Oreochromis niloticus: one gene and its partner. Each later gene encodes a partner of the first gene's protein in a complex. Links are inferred from orthologs where the notes say so. Each region holds a gene or a part of one and is shown on either strand. Other genes may lie near its edges.

Region 1 (7,118 bases):
CACCTGCTCTAGCGACGCCAGTGTTGAAGTAATGAAAAGTATTTTTATTTGGTCCTTCACTTAAACAAGAATACTGTAGTAGAAGCATGGCAGGCTTTTGGATCATCACGAGGGTATACTGTATATTTAGATGTTTATACAGAAAAGATTTTTCTATCTTTCGTTTATTTCCTCTCCTCTAATATCATTGCAGTATAATGTTCTAATGATGCGTGTAATAAATATACTCGAACTCTCGTTTTAAATACTGTGAGAAAATATTTACAGAAATACCAAACACGCAGCCACCCTGGTACTTAAGGGAGCAGCTCACCTCAAAAATCAAATGTAGTTTGTTTGTTTGTTTGTTTTCTTTCAAATGTAGGTTGTAGCTTTGTTTGGATCTGCCTTCTCTTGAACGTCATGGAACTAAAAAGCATTACCTTCTCTTCTGGTTCTTGGCGCATTAAAAAAATCGATTTGAAACTAGGTAGCAGTGTCACTTTCGCAAAATTATGCTCCGGCTATTCAAGATAAAGGAACAAAACCCCACCCAAATATTGTGAGCAGCTTCATGTAGGAACTGTTTCCTTCCTGCTGAATTAAAACCACCCTCTCACTCATAACGCTCATTCTTGTGACCGGGTGTGAACACTAATGGGTGTCCCCCTGTCCCCTGAGCTGTTTGTTTGGCAGATGTAGATAGAAGAAATAAAATAGTTCCTACATGAAACCACCAACAACAAGATGAGATTTTTACCCACACCCTGCTGGGTGGGCGGTGTAGACACCCAGGTTTGTGAATGCGAGAGAATGAAACGATGTATGATTTTTAACTTGATACCATAGTTGCATCTACTAGGAGGCCAACAGTATTTCTGAGTTACAGCTTTAAGCGAAACCCCACTTCCATTATATTTAAGAGAAGGCAGACGCCTCTACAGCATACATCTCTGTCTGTGCAGTGTACATTGTGGATAAAATAACACTAAATGCCAGGAAAATCTATTTAATAAATGACTGTGAGGTGAGCTGTCCCATTAAGCAGATTTCTTCTGTCAGGTCCTCAGTAAAATACATGGTGCTGTTAAGAATTACTGTATTTGCCATAATCAGATGACACAACTCTTTGGTACTCACAGATGAGTTGAGCTTACAAATGAAAGACGGCACGCACACGACATCTCTGACGTGCACTAGCCTTTCAGGTCCATTTCCGCCTTTTCTCCCACCCGGAAGGCGCTTTCTTTCTTTGTCTGTCTTTCTTACGGCTGTAATGAGCTGCACGGTCGCCATCCTCTGCAGCTCGTCCCCAGCTGAGCTGACATTTGAAATTAGAAAAGCCCTGACAGTGATTTCACCTGAAGTGTACCCCGCCGCCACACCGGCTCTGGCTCTGCACCTGAACCGATCACAATCTCTTCTGACGTGCTGCGAGACGCCGCCAGCTCTGCTTTCACACACTAGGCTCAAACGCACACAGAGTGGCTCATTACCCAAGTCTGAAAGTTTACTGTATCGTACAAGATATGAAAGGTAACATTAAAAGTTTTATTTTTTGAAAAGGTGGAAGTGGCACAAAAAAAACTTTGTTTACCAGTTGAATAAGTTAGTCTGCTCTCTAAAAGTCCAAGTATGCTTTTGCAGGTCAGTTTAATCAAGTAGTTCAGCATTTTATTTTGAAGGGTTCCTGAGAGGGCTCGTACAACCTATTTGACAAGGTTTCATGCATCTATTGAAATTTTGGTCAAATAAATAAATAAAACTCTGTTCCTTTTTTGTTTTAGGCAAAAATAAGAACAATATGGGAACCCTTTAGTCAAACTTCTATACTGAGTCCCTTTCATCCGTCTCTTCATGTTGTTGACTGCTTGTCTGTAGTACTTAAACCTTTTGTCTTAAGTCTCTTTTTTCTTCCTTTTGTGCGCGCGTGTGAACGAGCGAGATGACGACGACGGTGCACATCTAAAAGTCTCTCTGTATTTGTAAGCATCCTTTCTGTTTTGTAGGCCATAGTTGCTTTGTTACCAGCTGCCTCAGGATCCTAGCCTGTGCGTTAGGGGTGGAGAAACCGTTTTGTTTTTCCGTCAGCGCTCTGCTGACCGGGTAGGCGGGGGAAGACACCAGCATCATAGATGTATATACATACTATATGCAGATATGACAACCTTTAAAAGTATAGGAAGGTAAAAGAAGAATCGACACCTGTATTTATTGTTGTAAATCCTCATACTGTTCAAACTGACAAAAATTCAACATGTTTTAAGTTGTCTAATAAAGAAAAGATAAACCCTATGTTTAAATATTGCAAGTGATAATGTTAGATGATAAGCAATAATGACAAAATTCTGTAATCTGAATGAATAAAAAAAAATGGGGAAAAAAGTTATTCCTTTGTGTGCTGCTTTATTTCTGCTACTTTTAATACACAGTCACCCAGTGTGTTCACATATAGAGAGTTTTTTTTTTTAATGTCACAGCCTGTGTTGTGTCATTGTGGATTGGTTTCTAGTTGTATTTATGTGCCGTGGAAGAAGACACGTGCAGCTGTTGAGGTCTGTCATAGCCACAGTGAGCTCATCTGAGCCAGCAGCAATCAGACGGGGACATCTCTGACATCAGCCGAGCCGAGCTGGCTCTGAGCCTCTATTTATTCTAGAAACATTAGTCAAGTTTATGTGAGCAGATTACTTTAAATAGAATCATATTGTATGTGTGTTACACTATAATCTATTTACATTCTATTTCAGCTTGTTTCTTTTGAAGCATTTAAAATGAGGTTTGGTTTGGGTGCTACAACAGTAATGTATAAGCTTAGTTTCTTATATGAAGTGTCACTGTGACAAATCTGTAGTGCTTAAGGTGGAGGGAGAGGGTGGCCTGAAGTGGGCACGGTGGTGGAGCCAGACTGACACCATTAATTTCACAGGGGTGGCTCTGAAACTGACTGCTGCTTCTTACTACACTGCATTCATGCTAGTGTAATACACAATGAGGACTCATTATTAACATTTATTTAACCAACCATTTCCCAACCAAAGAATAGACATTTTTATATTCTATATAAAGCCAGTAGTTGCCAACTGGTCTCTAGGTTTGTTGACTGGAGCCTTATTCACATAACCCTACAACGAACAACTTAATGTTACATCTGTCATGTGACTACAAATCCTGAATAGATCCGCCACTGTTGTCTGCCATCTTTTACATACAGTCTATAGTCAGGCCTTTTGAAGCTGCCTTGACCCACCTTTAAGAGAAATGAACCCTGATGATACCATTGGGATAGTTTTTGGACCAAACCTGTACTTTAGTCTGGAATTTATAACAGAAAATAGGAAACCTTGTCCTTGTGAACACTGTCTGTAGGTACTTTGCAGTTTGTCATAAGTCTGCTACCATGAAACTAAACAGTTAATGTTTTTGATAAATCCAATTTGCCTTCCTAAGAAATCGTCCATCAACTGGAATCACATACCATTATGAAAGTGAGTCTACTTGAGTTACATTTAGACAAGTTACCGCTGCTCCTCTGCCTTGCTCGAGAGTTCCTCACATCACTGTGTTTTTGTAGACCAGCTCCTTTGTTGGGTCTGCTGATTTTACACTTGGCCTGCGATGGATTTAACCACCAGTAAATTACTATTTAACCTTGAACTCTCTCACCTCCCCCATGGCCCCAGCCATGTGGCTCAAGCCTGCTCTGAACTGTTCACTCCAATCATGTCATCTTAAGTGGTTTTTCCACAGTCAGGGGGCTGTGTGTGTTTCAGTCTGCAGGACAATCCCCTCACAGCCGCATATCAATAATTCACAGGGGAAAGTGACAGGAGGTGAAATGATAAATGAAGATGCACACATATGAAGTGATCTTCGACAGTGACATCACAGCTGACGGCAGACTGTGTGGCAACTCAGCAAAGGGTCGCCCAGGGATGCAGCAGTTATTTTTATAAGATGAAGGTGCTTCTAATACTTTGAGCCATTCAACCTCCACTTTAATACACTGACATCGTTTTGGCTCCATGTGGTCAGCTGATGCGCCTCTCTTTAACTCCGCCCTCTCGGAGCGAGCAGGGACAGCGAATCAAACATATCGGGGGGGGGGGGGGGGGGTAGTCTCAACAGCAGCAGGAGGAGGAGGAGGAGATCCTCAACTTCGCTCTCCGGAGTCGGTCCCCCCCTCCTGACGCGGTGCAGTCTTGAGCTGTCCACCGGACCGGTATGCACTATCCGCGGATGAGGAGGAAGTGAGCCGAGCCGACCGTGAAAGATGCAGACGGAGGACATGGAGGTACCTATCATTAATAACCTTAACGATAACGGCGACAGACAGAGGCCGAAAGGGAAAGATGTGTTCAAGGATCAGCAGAAGGAGTCAGAGGTAAATCCAAGTACAGCACAGCGGGCTCCCACAGCTCCTGGTACAGGAGCGCACTGGACGGCTGTGTGTGCGTACGTGTGTGTGAATGTGTGTGTCGTTGCTGGGAAGCTTTCAGATCAGCTGAATGTCCTTTCCATGCAGCGAGTCGCCGTCTTGGCTCGAGAGCATGCCTGCATGCATGCGGGCAGACGGCGAGGTGTTATTTTGGCAGCGGCTCCTATAAATAACCCAGCAGTAATCCTACAGCGGTGCTCAGCGTGGGGGACTGCAGGTGGTGAAATGTGACTGCTGCTCCCAGGACCACCGAACGTAACTGCATATCATATTTATGTCCTCGTGGTGTCCTTTTGGCATCTGGAGTGCATCCTCCATTTAATCAATCAGAGAATCGGATCAGTTTTTGGCAGTCCGCCTGCCCCTCAGATGAGCCTTTATTGGTTTTATTTGGTATCTTTGTGAGAGGAGGGATTTGGTTTAGTACGCTTTCTTGGGAACTGAAATAAAAGTGGCTACCAGAAAATAAAATATGTGCAAATTTAAAATCTTTGAGGTTTGAACTACAGTATGAATGATATACTGGTGGCACAATAATAAGTTGATACTGGCCTGTCACAAATATAGAGTTGTTTGGGATATATATGAATGCTTGGGAAGGTTCAGAGACCTAATCTGGATGCTACAATCCCACTAAATGTACAGTTGTTTCCAGTCCCGTGCATATCACCAGCAGGTGCCCTCCTCTGCCTTCTAGCTATCTCTGGAGGCTGTTATCATTTACATCATTTTTTTTTTTTTTACATCTATTGTAAAAAAATATTTTAAAAAGAGATTCATGAATGATGAAAATATGTAGTCAGCTTAAACGTTGTGAGTTAGAAAGTTTCAATTTGTAATGGGTTTTATATAAATAAGATTGTATTTTAACTCAAACTGCATCAAGAAATGATCTCCCTAGACTATTAGACTATAATTGCCTTCTGAGTTATTGCTACAAGTCAGGGTGGATCAATGTTTTGATGTCATTTGCAGCAAATATCAACCCTGTTGCAATAGAAATCGAGACTCATCCAACCAGGCAATGTTTTTTTTTTTCAATCTTCTGCCTGATTTTAGGGAGCTTGTGCAAATTGTACCCTCAGTTTCCTGTTCTTAACCGAAAGGAGTGGGACCCATTGTGCTCTTCTGCTGCTTCAGCAGCAAAGATGCTGATCCCAGTAGAAATCCCAGTTGATTATCACCTTTCTTCACTATTCTGATACTCAGTTTGAACTTCCGCAGGCCGACTTGAATGTATTGACTTGTTGCCACGTAATTGGATGATTAGTTATTTGCATAAACAAGCTGTTGAACAGGTATCCTTGAAGTAGCTAGCAAGTGTATATAAATAGAATATTGACTAATATGTTGATATTAGAGCCTTTTTACTGTCTAAAAATTTGTACCTGCAAATCCAGTATGAGTTTGTGTTTGAACTGCTGGGTGTATATTGGAATCAGCCAATAAATCAATTTTTTTACATCATTGCAGTATCCTTTTTTTGATAAAAAGACTGAGGCGGTCCCATAGGTCTGGGGTATAAGCATATTTTCTGTGGTTTAAAGAGTGTTTAGAGCCACTGTAGACTGCTTATGGGAGTCACCTTCTGTAATATGGACCTGTAAGCTGTAATCTCCTCCGCTATTTCTAAACATGACGCTGGCGAGGCTTGTTGTTAAGGCTCCCTCAGTGCTCGGCAGCTATAATTCATCCTCCTCATGAAAAAATTACTAGCTGATGGGCTTCATTGGTGGGGTTACTCGGTCCAGATACATAAGAGATGTTACTCAGAGTGCGTTGAAGCCGAAACCATTCAGAGTGCTTTGAAAGAGGACGCTGAATGTTTTTGGGGGGAATTAGAGCATATTCATCTTACAGTCGTTGGATTGTGGGATAGGGGGTTGGGGGTGAGTGAATGAGGTTCCCTGGCCTCTACAGTTGAACCAGGAACCTCAAACCTGACTCCGTCGTGTACGTGAACTGTTTGTCTTTTTTGCTGGCTGGAGTGGTCATGTCCATGTTGGCATATGTTGGTAGGAGAGGGGGCGTTCAGCCTTGACACTGCGCCCAGTGTTTGCACGCTGATGCGGTGTAGAGCGTGCAAACACAGGAGCCGTGCCAGTTCAGTTTGGAGCCGGGGCGATTTTGGTTATCAGCTGGCGGCAAAGAGAAGAGGAGTGAACGAGAGTGAACAGGGGGGAAAATGAAGGAGTGGAAGAGAGAGACTGGGTAATTGTAAGGAGAAATGGAAGAGTAGCAGCAGACGAGGAAGAGAGAGGAGAGGCATGAGAATTAAAGAGAAACAGAAAGAGACATGTCATTTCGGTTTGGGCAGAGGAGTTAACTTCAGTTTCAGGGATGCCAATGGAGGACTGAGGGACTAAGAGACTCAGTAATATCATCTATTTAAGTAATTTATCAAGGCTAATTAAGCCTAAGTGAAAGTGTTAAAGGCCTTGAAAACAAGTCGCCTCAATCACTTTTACTTTCAGGAGTGGGCTCTTGCATGATCACACAATTTTCAGTGTAAGCTAAACAGTTTGGGTTGTTTTTCTTGAATTTTTGTATATTCTTCTGCATAAAGGTAATCTAGGAAATTTTTGCAGGTTCATACATGTCTTAATTTAGCAATTTTAAAATGAACTGACAGTTTTAAGGCTGTTTGGTTACACTTAATGTTGTAAACAATTATTTTATTGACTAAGAAAACTAGTAATCA
Region 2 (7,358 bases), on another chromosome or scaffold:
AATAAATGTTTCTTTAAATGGCAGATGAAGATATCAGTGCCTAAAAATCTGCACACTAACAGGAGGAAAATAGAAGTCTTTGTGAAGGTACACAGCAGACCATGTCTGACACAGTGAATGGCGCAGGACAGACCATAGCCAAAGGGAGGCCTGACATCACCCTTAAAATGCAAGGCATGCTGTCTAAACGGGTGGAAATGTTCAGGGTAGTCTGCACCAGTGTAACAGGGTAGACCGGAATTGGCAATGATTTTGGAGCGTGTGTTTCACTTTTGCAATGAGCCAATGGCTGTGGTTGGGCGGGGTTAACTAAAGGCAGGTGTATCTGATTCTGCTTCTACTTTAGTCTACATATGCCATGTACTGCAAACACTGCTGTCACATTTTTTCTCTCTCTGTACAGGTATGTTACATAGCCCAGATTTAAGATGGTTTAGATTAACATCAATGTGTTTATAGTAGATGTTCTTTTGAGGTGCTGCGAGTAGATGTAGCTGTATGTTTTTCCACATTTTCATTCTCAGTGCAGGCCAGTCTCTGTTAAATGCTGCAGCTTGAAGGCAGAGCTGGCCTGCTGAGCCTGGGGTGGTTGCTGGCCGACTCGACACAGGGTGGTGGTTCTGGGAGGACCTGTTGGAATTTGTCAGCATGCTAGTGTCTAGCCACCCTGTGGCAAAAGTGGCCCTAGCCTTGGACTATGTGTTTTGTTCCTTCTGCAAATGGGATGCTGGACTGTATTATATATTATAGCTGGGACTGTTTCTCATGAGAGTATGTCATTTTTTGCCCTCAGCTGAGTCTGTGTGTTACACCAAAAAGCAATTATGATAAATGATTTCCATAAGGCCCACTAGATTTGCACAGCAGCTTTATTTTAAGTTACTGATTATCTACAAGTGTTCTAAATGTGTATGCATTTGTATGCTGATTGGGGAAATAACATTATTTAATTTTCTCTGGAGGTCCCTTGAAGGTTCCGCAAAACTAACCTTGAGCGAATGTACATTCACAAAGTGTGTGTAATCAGATTAGTAAAATGAATCTGTAAGCATGCGAGTATAATGGCTGAAAAGCCTTAAAGTTATGCATTGAAAATGCAAACAAGTTACCAGTTGCAGCTCACCCAGCTTTCTAGTTGGCTGTCTTTTTATATGTGACTTTTGTAACACTTCTCCTGTGGCAGTTCCACAAAAATATATTTATGGCATGATTTCTGTAGTAAAACCAGTTCAGTACTGTCCAATCAACACATGTACAAGTTGGTAATTTAACTGTTTTATAATATTACCTTTAATTTATCCTGCTGTAAATGTCACTGAAATTGACAATGTCCTTTTCAAGAGTAACGTCAGCAAGAAGCGAGCAATAATTACAAGTAGCAACTGAACATAAACACACAAATACAGATGGGGCTCATTACATCCAGTCAAAATAGGTACAATTCAAACTGACCTGAGAGACTTTGGTAAGCTGTATGTGTTTTTACAATTCTAGCAAATATCATCTTAGAGTAGCAGCACACAGTTCCCCAAAACAGCAGCTGACCAGTGAAGAATAGTGGTTTATTGACTGAGAGCAGCTCTAATCATCTAACAGCTGGCTGACTGCTGGAGAGCCTTGGATGACAAGCAAACAGCAGCCACTAGCTCTGGGAGGAAAACCAACACCGATAACTAAACGTAAATATACATATGAACAATCATAATATGTCACTTTACATTCAAATAATCTATAACATCTATGTCTTTTTACTTAATGTTTTTTTTTTTTTTTTTAAATTTGACTAATAATGGGCAAAGCCATGGTGTGCGAGACCACGGTAGCGTTATTAAATGTTAAGAAAAATAAAGCTGCCCACATAATCGGCACTTTATTCACACCAAGTAAATAAACTGTTTCTGGACTTTAATGCACAAGAAGGTAAACTTTAAGTGGCCCTGTCTCCTGATAGAAATATTTGCATAGCCTTAAATCATAAAAATATAATAATCATAAAAACAGATCTCTTGGGGCCCCCTCCTGGCAGGTTTATGTAAATGAAGAGTGAGACGAAAGGTCACACAAACTCGTTTCCTGTGCACAAACAAATTATTAACTGAGAGGTAGTAGCGAACGATGGAAACACCAGCTTAGTCTTAGAATAGTGCCAACTAGCCAAAAGCAGCTGGCTGACCATCTGCAGCATTAATCATATAATCTACAACTCCAGAGGCAGCATACCATTGGCCACTTTTAGATCTTGGTACTACTTCAAACTCATTATTACTGTTTCATAGTAAACTCTTTGGTTGAAATTTTGACTAACATCACAAGACAACCATGAAAACCAATTAAGCTGCAGGCTAGCCCTCATCACTCAGTGGAGGCCAAACACTAGATACAATTCACTTTTGTTACACGCAATAGATAATCTTGGTTTATTTCAGTTTATTTTTATTTGTTCTTGGGCAAACTGGATTGGCTGAGATTAAAGTTAAGCTTCATAACTTTTTTATTTTATTTGACTTTATTGTCTGAAGTGCTGTCCATATATTCTGAATAGGATATTTCACTTGTCTTTATGAACACATTTTACATTTTTTAAAAAGGTTTATAAAAGTATTATTTCATTCATTTTTTGTTTTATTTTAAAAGTTACAGTGCTGTGAAAAAATATTCCCACCTTTTCTGACTTCTTAGTTTTAAAAAGCTTTCCAAACCTACTTGGGCCTACGTAAAAAAAAAAAAAGAAACCCCCAACAAACCTCTCATGAATTAACTTTGATTAGAAAGCTGAATTCCACTAGCCTCACCCAGGCCTGATTACTGCCAGGCCTCTTAAATCAAGAAATCACTTAATTAGAAGACACTAAATTAGACTAAAAGATCTCAAAAAGCAACACATCATGCCACGATCTAAAGAAACAGCTGAGAAGCAAAGTCATTTACATCTACCTGTCTGAAAATGGATTAAAAGCCATTTCTAAGGCCTTGGTACTCCAGTTAACCATGATGAGAGCTGTTATCCTCAAATTGGGACAGTGGTAAATCTTCCCAGGAGTGGCCAGCCTACCAAAGTAACCCCAAGAACGCATCAGTGACTCATCCAGGAGGTCACAAAAGAACCCAGGACAACATCTAAAGGACGGCAGGCCTCACTTGCTTCAGTTAAAGTCAGAGTTCATGACATAATAATAAGGAGACTGGGAGGAACATGACATGTATGGTAGAGTTTCAAGGTAAAACGCACTGCTGACCAAAAGACATTTACACATTTACAACACAACCTATCTTGGTGATCCTCAATACTTTTGGAAAATTATTCTGTGGACTGATGAGATCAAAGTTGAACTTTGTGGAAGGTTTAAGTCCCGTTACATCTGGTGAAAAATAGGACAGGATTTAATTTAAAACAAAAAACATCACACCAACAGTAAGACATGGTACTGGTAGTGTGATGGCCTGAGGTCTGCTTTGCTAAAGCTGCAGTTACTTATTATTTTGTAGATTCAATGGATTATTATAAATCAGCTATGAGCAATATCTAAGTAACACCTGTCATTGATTCAATTATTATGGTCCAACAACACAGTGTGTATGATTCTGTCAGTCATTCTACATAATGAGTACATTCACTTGTTTATTTACGCTTGTGCACTACAGTGGTTTTACAACTTTAATTTAAGCAAATAGTTTGGGTGCCTTTTTCCACTTTGAAAGCAACATTTACCAAATCAAATTGTGTTTAAATTCTTGGGAAGCACCACACCACCACAGCTGAATGTCTGTCTCCATCTCACCATCTCCCTAGGATCCTTTCTCTCATACCAACACTTTGCCTTCACTATGAAATTTTGTTATGGTCCTCCTCTTTACCTGCTCCATGGCAGCTCCATATTCAACACCTATTCTACAATATATCCACTGCCCCCTCCTCTGCACATGTCCAAAACCATCTCAGCCTTACCTCTCTGACTTGGCCTCAGAGCAGCCTTACCTCTCTGACTTGGCCTCAGAGGCTCAACCTCAGCTGTTTCATTTCTTACCCTGTCCAACCTGCTCACAGTGCATCTGCATTGCATTGTAAACATTAGTCAAAATGAAATTAAGCCCAACAAGGAACTGAAGGACACAGTGGAGCTGAGCTGAGCTGTGATGCTGCCATACTGCTGTCTCAGTCCTCAGAAGTCTGGACTCCCCTGAGAACTTACTGAGTCCGAAGGAGAGAAACGCCCGTGTGATATTTTTATCATGAGAAGACAAGACTTCCGCAAAGTAACTCAAAACTCTACTACGTGTACAATGTAACTATTTAAATGACGTCAGAGTCGCTTAATTTATCTGCTCTTTGATTGGACGGTGTGTGTTTACGTAGCAACGGTCCGGAAGATGTCGCTGGGGCCAGTCCTAAAAAACTTCCGCCTTAAGTTGTAGAGAAAACACAGCAGCTAAAAAGGCTATCGACGGCGTAACCATCCCATTTACGAAGTCAGACAAAAGGTAGATACCTGCTCACATTTTTGACACATACTGTAATGACACATTTGTCCTAAACCAGCCGGTTGGCGTGTTTTAGGATCTCAAAAAATATAAATCCAGAAATTACCAGAGCTAGCACGGAAGCTCGGCTCTTCACTGCTAGCAGTTCGCTACCATCGATATGGTCGGCCATAGGCCTCAGGTTGATATTTTTACGGGTAGATCGCGATAAATATAATACTATACCTACCCATTTGTTCTGACTCTTGATTTTAACAGTCTTAAGAAAAATAGCCAGCACAATGTAACGTCTACTTTATATCTACTGGGTTAGCTACGTCCAGTTAGCCGAGTCTCAAATACCTGGGCTTGTATACATCCAGTAAGCTGCTTAAGTGGTTGGGTTAGCCAGCTACCATCGCGTTTGGTTGAAAAATAGTAATGTTAGTCTAGTTTATGTCTGAGAAAAAAATCTAAACATTTGTTTAATGTAAACTTAATGACATCGAGAAGTATTTGGCTAGCCTAGCTGAATACCCCAAATGGTATTTAGGAGGCTAATGTCTGATCTACATCGCCAAACTTTTTTTTGTTGTTAATGTAATTCCTGTCATTCCTTTTGGACTTTTACATATTTTGATATGAATCAATGCAATTATGAAACGGGTTGGTGTCTTGCTTGTAATAAGCTCTTCTATTCCGTCAACTGTCATATTTTCACATTGATGTTTGGTCATTGAAGGTTTGCTGTCATCAGCCAGGTAACTGTGCCACTCCCCTTCTCCAGACTCACAAAAGAGCAGTGTTTGAATGGCAATGGCAGCTTTATTTATATAACACATTTCCTCTTGCGTAAACGTGATTAACACAAATGATGGAAACATTAAAAACCTGTGTAGGTTTGACAGTCTCTTAAGGCAGTCAAAACGGCAAAATAAAACTTTTTGGGAAAACCTAAGGTTTTGAGTCAGCGAGCAGCTTGTTCCAAAGAACAGGAGCACAGTAGCAGAAAGACCACTCGGCAAACTTGGATCTGATTTGAGAAATATTTAAAAGATCTGCACCTGATGACCTGAGAGGTTTGATTGGGTTAACAGTGAGTCAGAGATAGGGAGGGGGGCAAGCCATTGAGAGCTTTATGAACTAATAGGAAGCTTTTGAAATGACTTCAATACTGGTCAATAGTATTAACTACTAATAATATGGTCAGTGTGGTTTTCCTTTTGTCTGAACATTATAGAAAATGCTAGTTAAACAGTATTGAGTCGGCATTGCAGAATAAATATCTGACATTAATGAATTAGACATTACAGTGCATAAATACCAAGTACAAATAGAGGTTATAAGGAATGTGTCATAGTGATTTTATAAGTTATATTTATTATTTCGTATGTTTGTTAGGGTGTTGAGAAGTTTTAGTTGTGGATCTATTTTTATAAATCCAGTCTCTTCATTTACACTGTTTTACTGTCTCACATTTTTCTTCTTCAGGCTACTATACTCTGGAGTTTGGGTGGTTTTGAGCGTGTGTGTGTGAGTGTGACTGGTTGAGTGCATGTGTGAGTGTATGTGAGCTGCAGATTCTTCCTCACTGTTACAACCAGAGCTGCTCCTCCCTGGAGGATGACAATGGAGGAGATGAAGAATGAAGCGGAGACAAACTCCATGGTATCCATGACGCTGTACGCCGTGATGTATCCAGTTTTCAATGAGGTAAAATCTCCAAAAGTTGAATCTGTTCATCTGGACGTAGCGTTTTGTGGGAGAAACGTTTCGTCACTCATCCAAGTGACTTCTTCAGTCTCAGCTGACTGCAGGTTTCCCCAAACCTTATAAACAGTACATTTGCATAATGACTGAAACCAGCCCACTGAAGGAACAATGGGCTGTGAGGTCAGTTCCTTAATCATAATTATGCAAATTCCCATGAGGTAAAATATCACATGCTGGGGACAAAGGTGCTGATAGTTTGCCTGGACATCCCCTCATCAGGAGATGTCCAGGGAAGCTATTAGCATCAGCATGCCTGTATGAGAAACCAGAGACCCAGTAACGCATTTGAAAATTTATAATAATGAATCTGCATAGCAGAAACAAAGATGCATATACAGTGCTGTGAACAAGTATTTGCCCACTTCCTGTTTTTTTGTTTTGTTTTGTTTTTGCATATTACATACAGTTACATGTTTCACATCAACAAACAAATGTAGATATTAGAAAAAGATAACCAAAGTAAATACAAAATGCAGTTTTTAAATGATGATTTCATTTATTAAGGGAGAGACTCAACTTTGATTAACCACATTTTTTGGAAAGCTGAGTAGAACGTCAATAGCCACACCCAGACCTGATTACTTGGTGAATCAAGAATGACAAAGCGAGGTAGGTAGGCTAAAAGATCTCGTAAAAAACGTGTCATACCATGATCTTAAGAAAGTCAAGAGATAAAAATGTCAGTCTGGAAAGGATTATAAAGCAATTTCTGAGGCTTTAGGACTCCAGTAAATCAAAGTGAGAACCCTTATCCGCAAATGGAGAAAACATGGAGCAGTGGTGAACCTTCCCAGGAGTGGGCACCCTACCAAAAATACCCCAAAAGCACATCAACAATGTATCCAGGAGGTCAAATGAACCCAGAACAACATGAAAAGGACTGGAGCCCTGATTTGCCTCAGTTAAGGCCTTTTTTCATGATTTAACAATAAGAAAAATGGCATGGTATGGTATGGGAGAATTTCTAGATATAAACCACTGTTGGCCAAAAGAACACAAAGGTTTGTCTCATGTCTACCAGAGTTTTGGAAGGTTTGAGTCCTGTTGCATCAGCATTTCATAAAAGAAAATCATACCAACAGTCAAACATGTCTGAGCTGCTTCAGGACCTGAATAATTTTCCATAA

Evidence for each region.
Region 2: strip2 (region 1) and programmed cell death protein 10 share a complex: the UniProt entries of both Homo sapiens proteins name them as parts of the core of STRIPAK complex. The link is inferred for Oreochromis niloticus from reciprocal best matches to the Homo sapiens genes STRIP2 and PDCD10.

Annotation. Positions count from the first base shown.
Region 1 is NC_031981.2:6,725,878-6,732,995, forward strand, and holds the start of strip2 (striatin-interacting protein 1 homolog), read left to right. Parts: upstream 1-4,093; 5' UTR 4,094-4,252; coding exon 4,253-4,363; intron 4,364-7,118. UniProt on the Homo sapiens protein: Plays a role in the regulation of cell morphology and cytoskeletal organization. Required in the control of cell shape. Calmodulin-binding scaffolding protein which is the center of the striatin-interacting phosphatase and kinase (STRIPAK) complexes.
Region 2 is NC_031983.2:17,919,264-17,926,621, reverse strand, and holds the start of programmed cell death protein 10, read left to right. Parts: upstream 1-4,354; 5' UTR 4,355-4,479; intron 4,480-5,949; 5' UTR 5,950-6,081; coding exon 6,082-6,171; intron 6,172-7,358. UniProt on the Homo sapiens protein: Promotes cell proliferation. Modulates apoptotic pathways. Increases mitogen-activated protein kinase activity and STK26 activity. Important for cell migration, and for normal structure and assembly of the Golgi complex.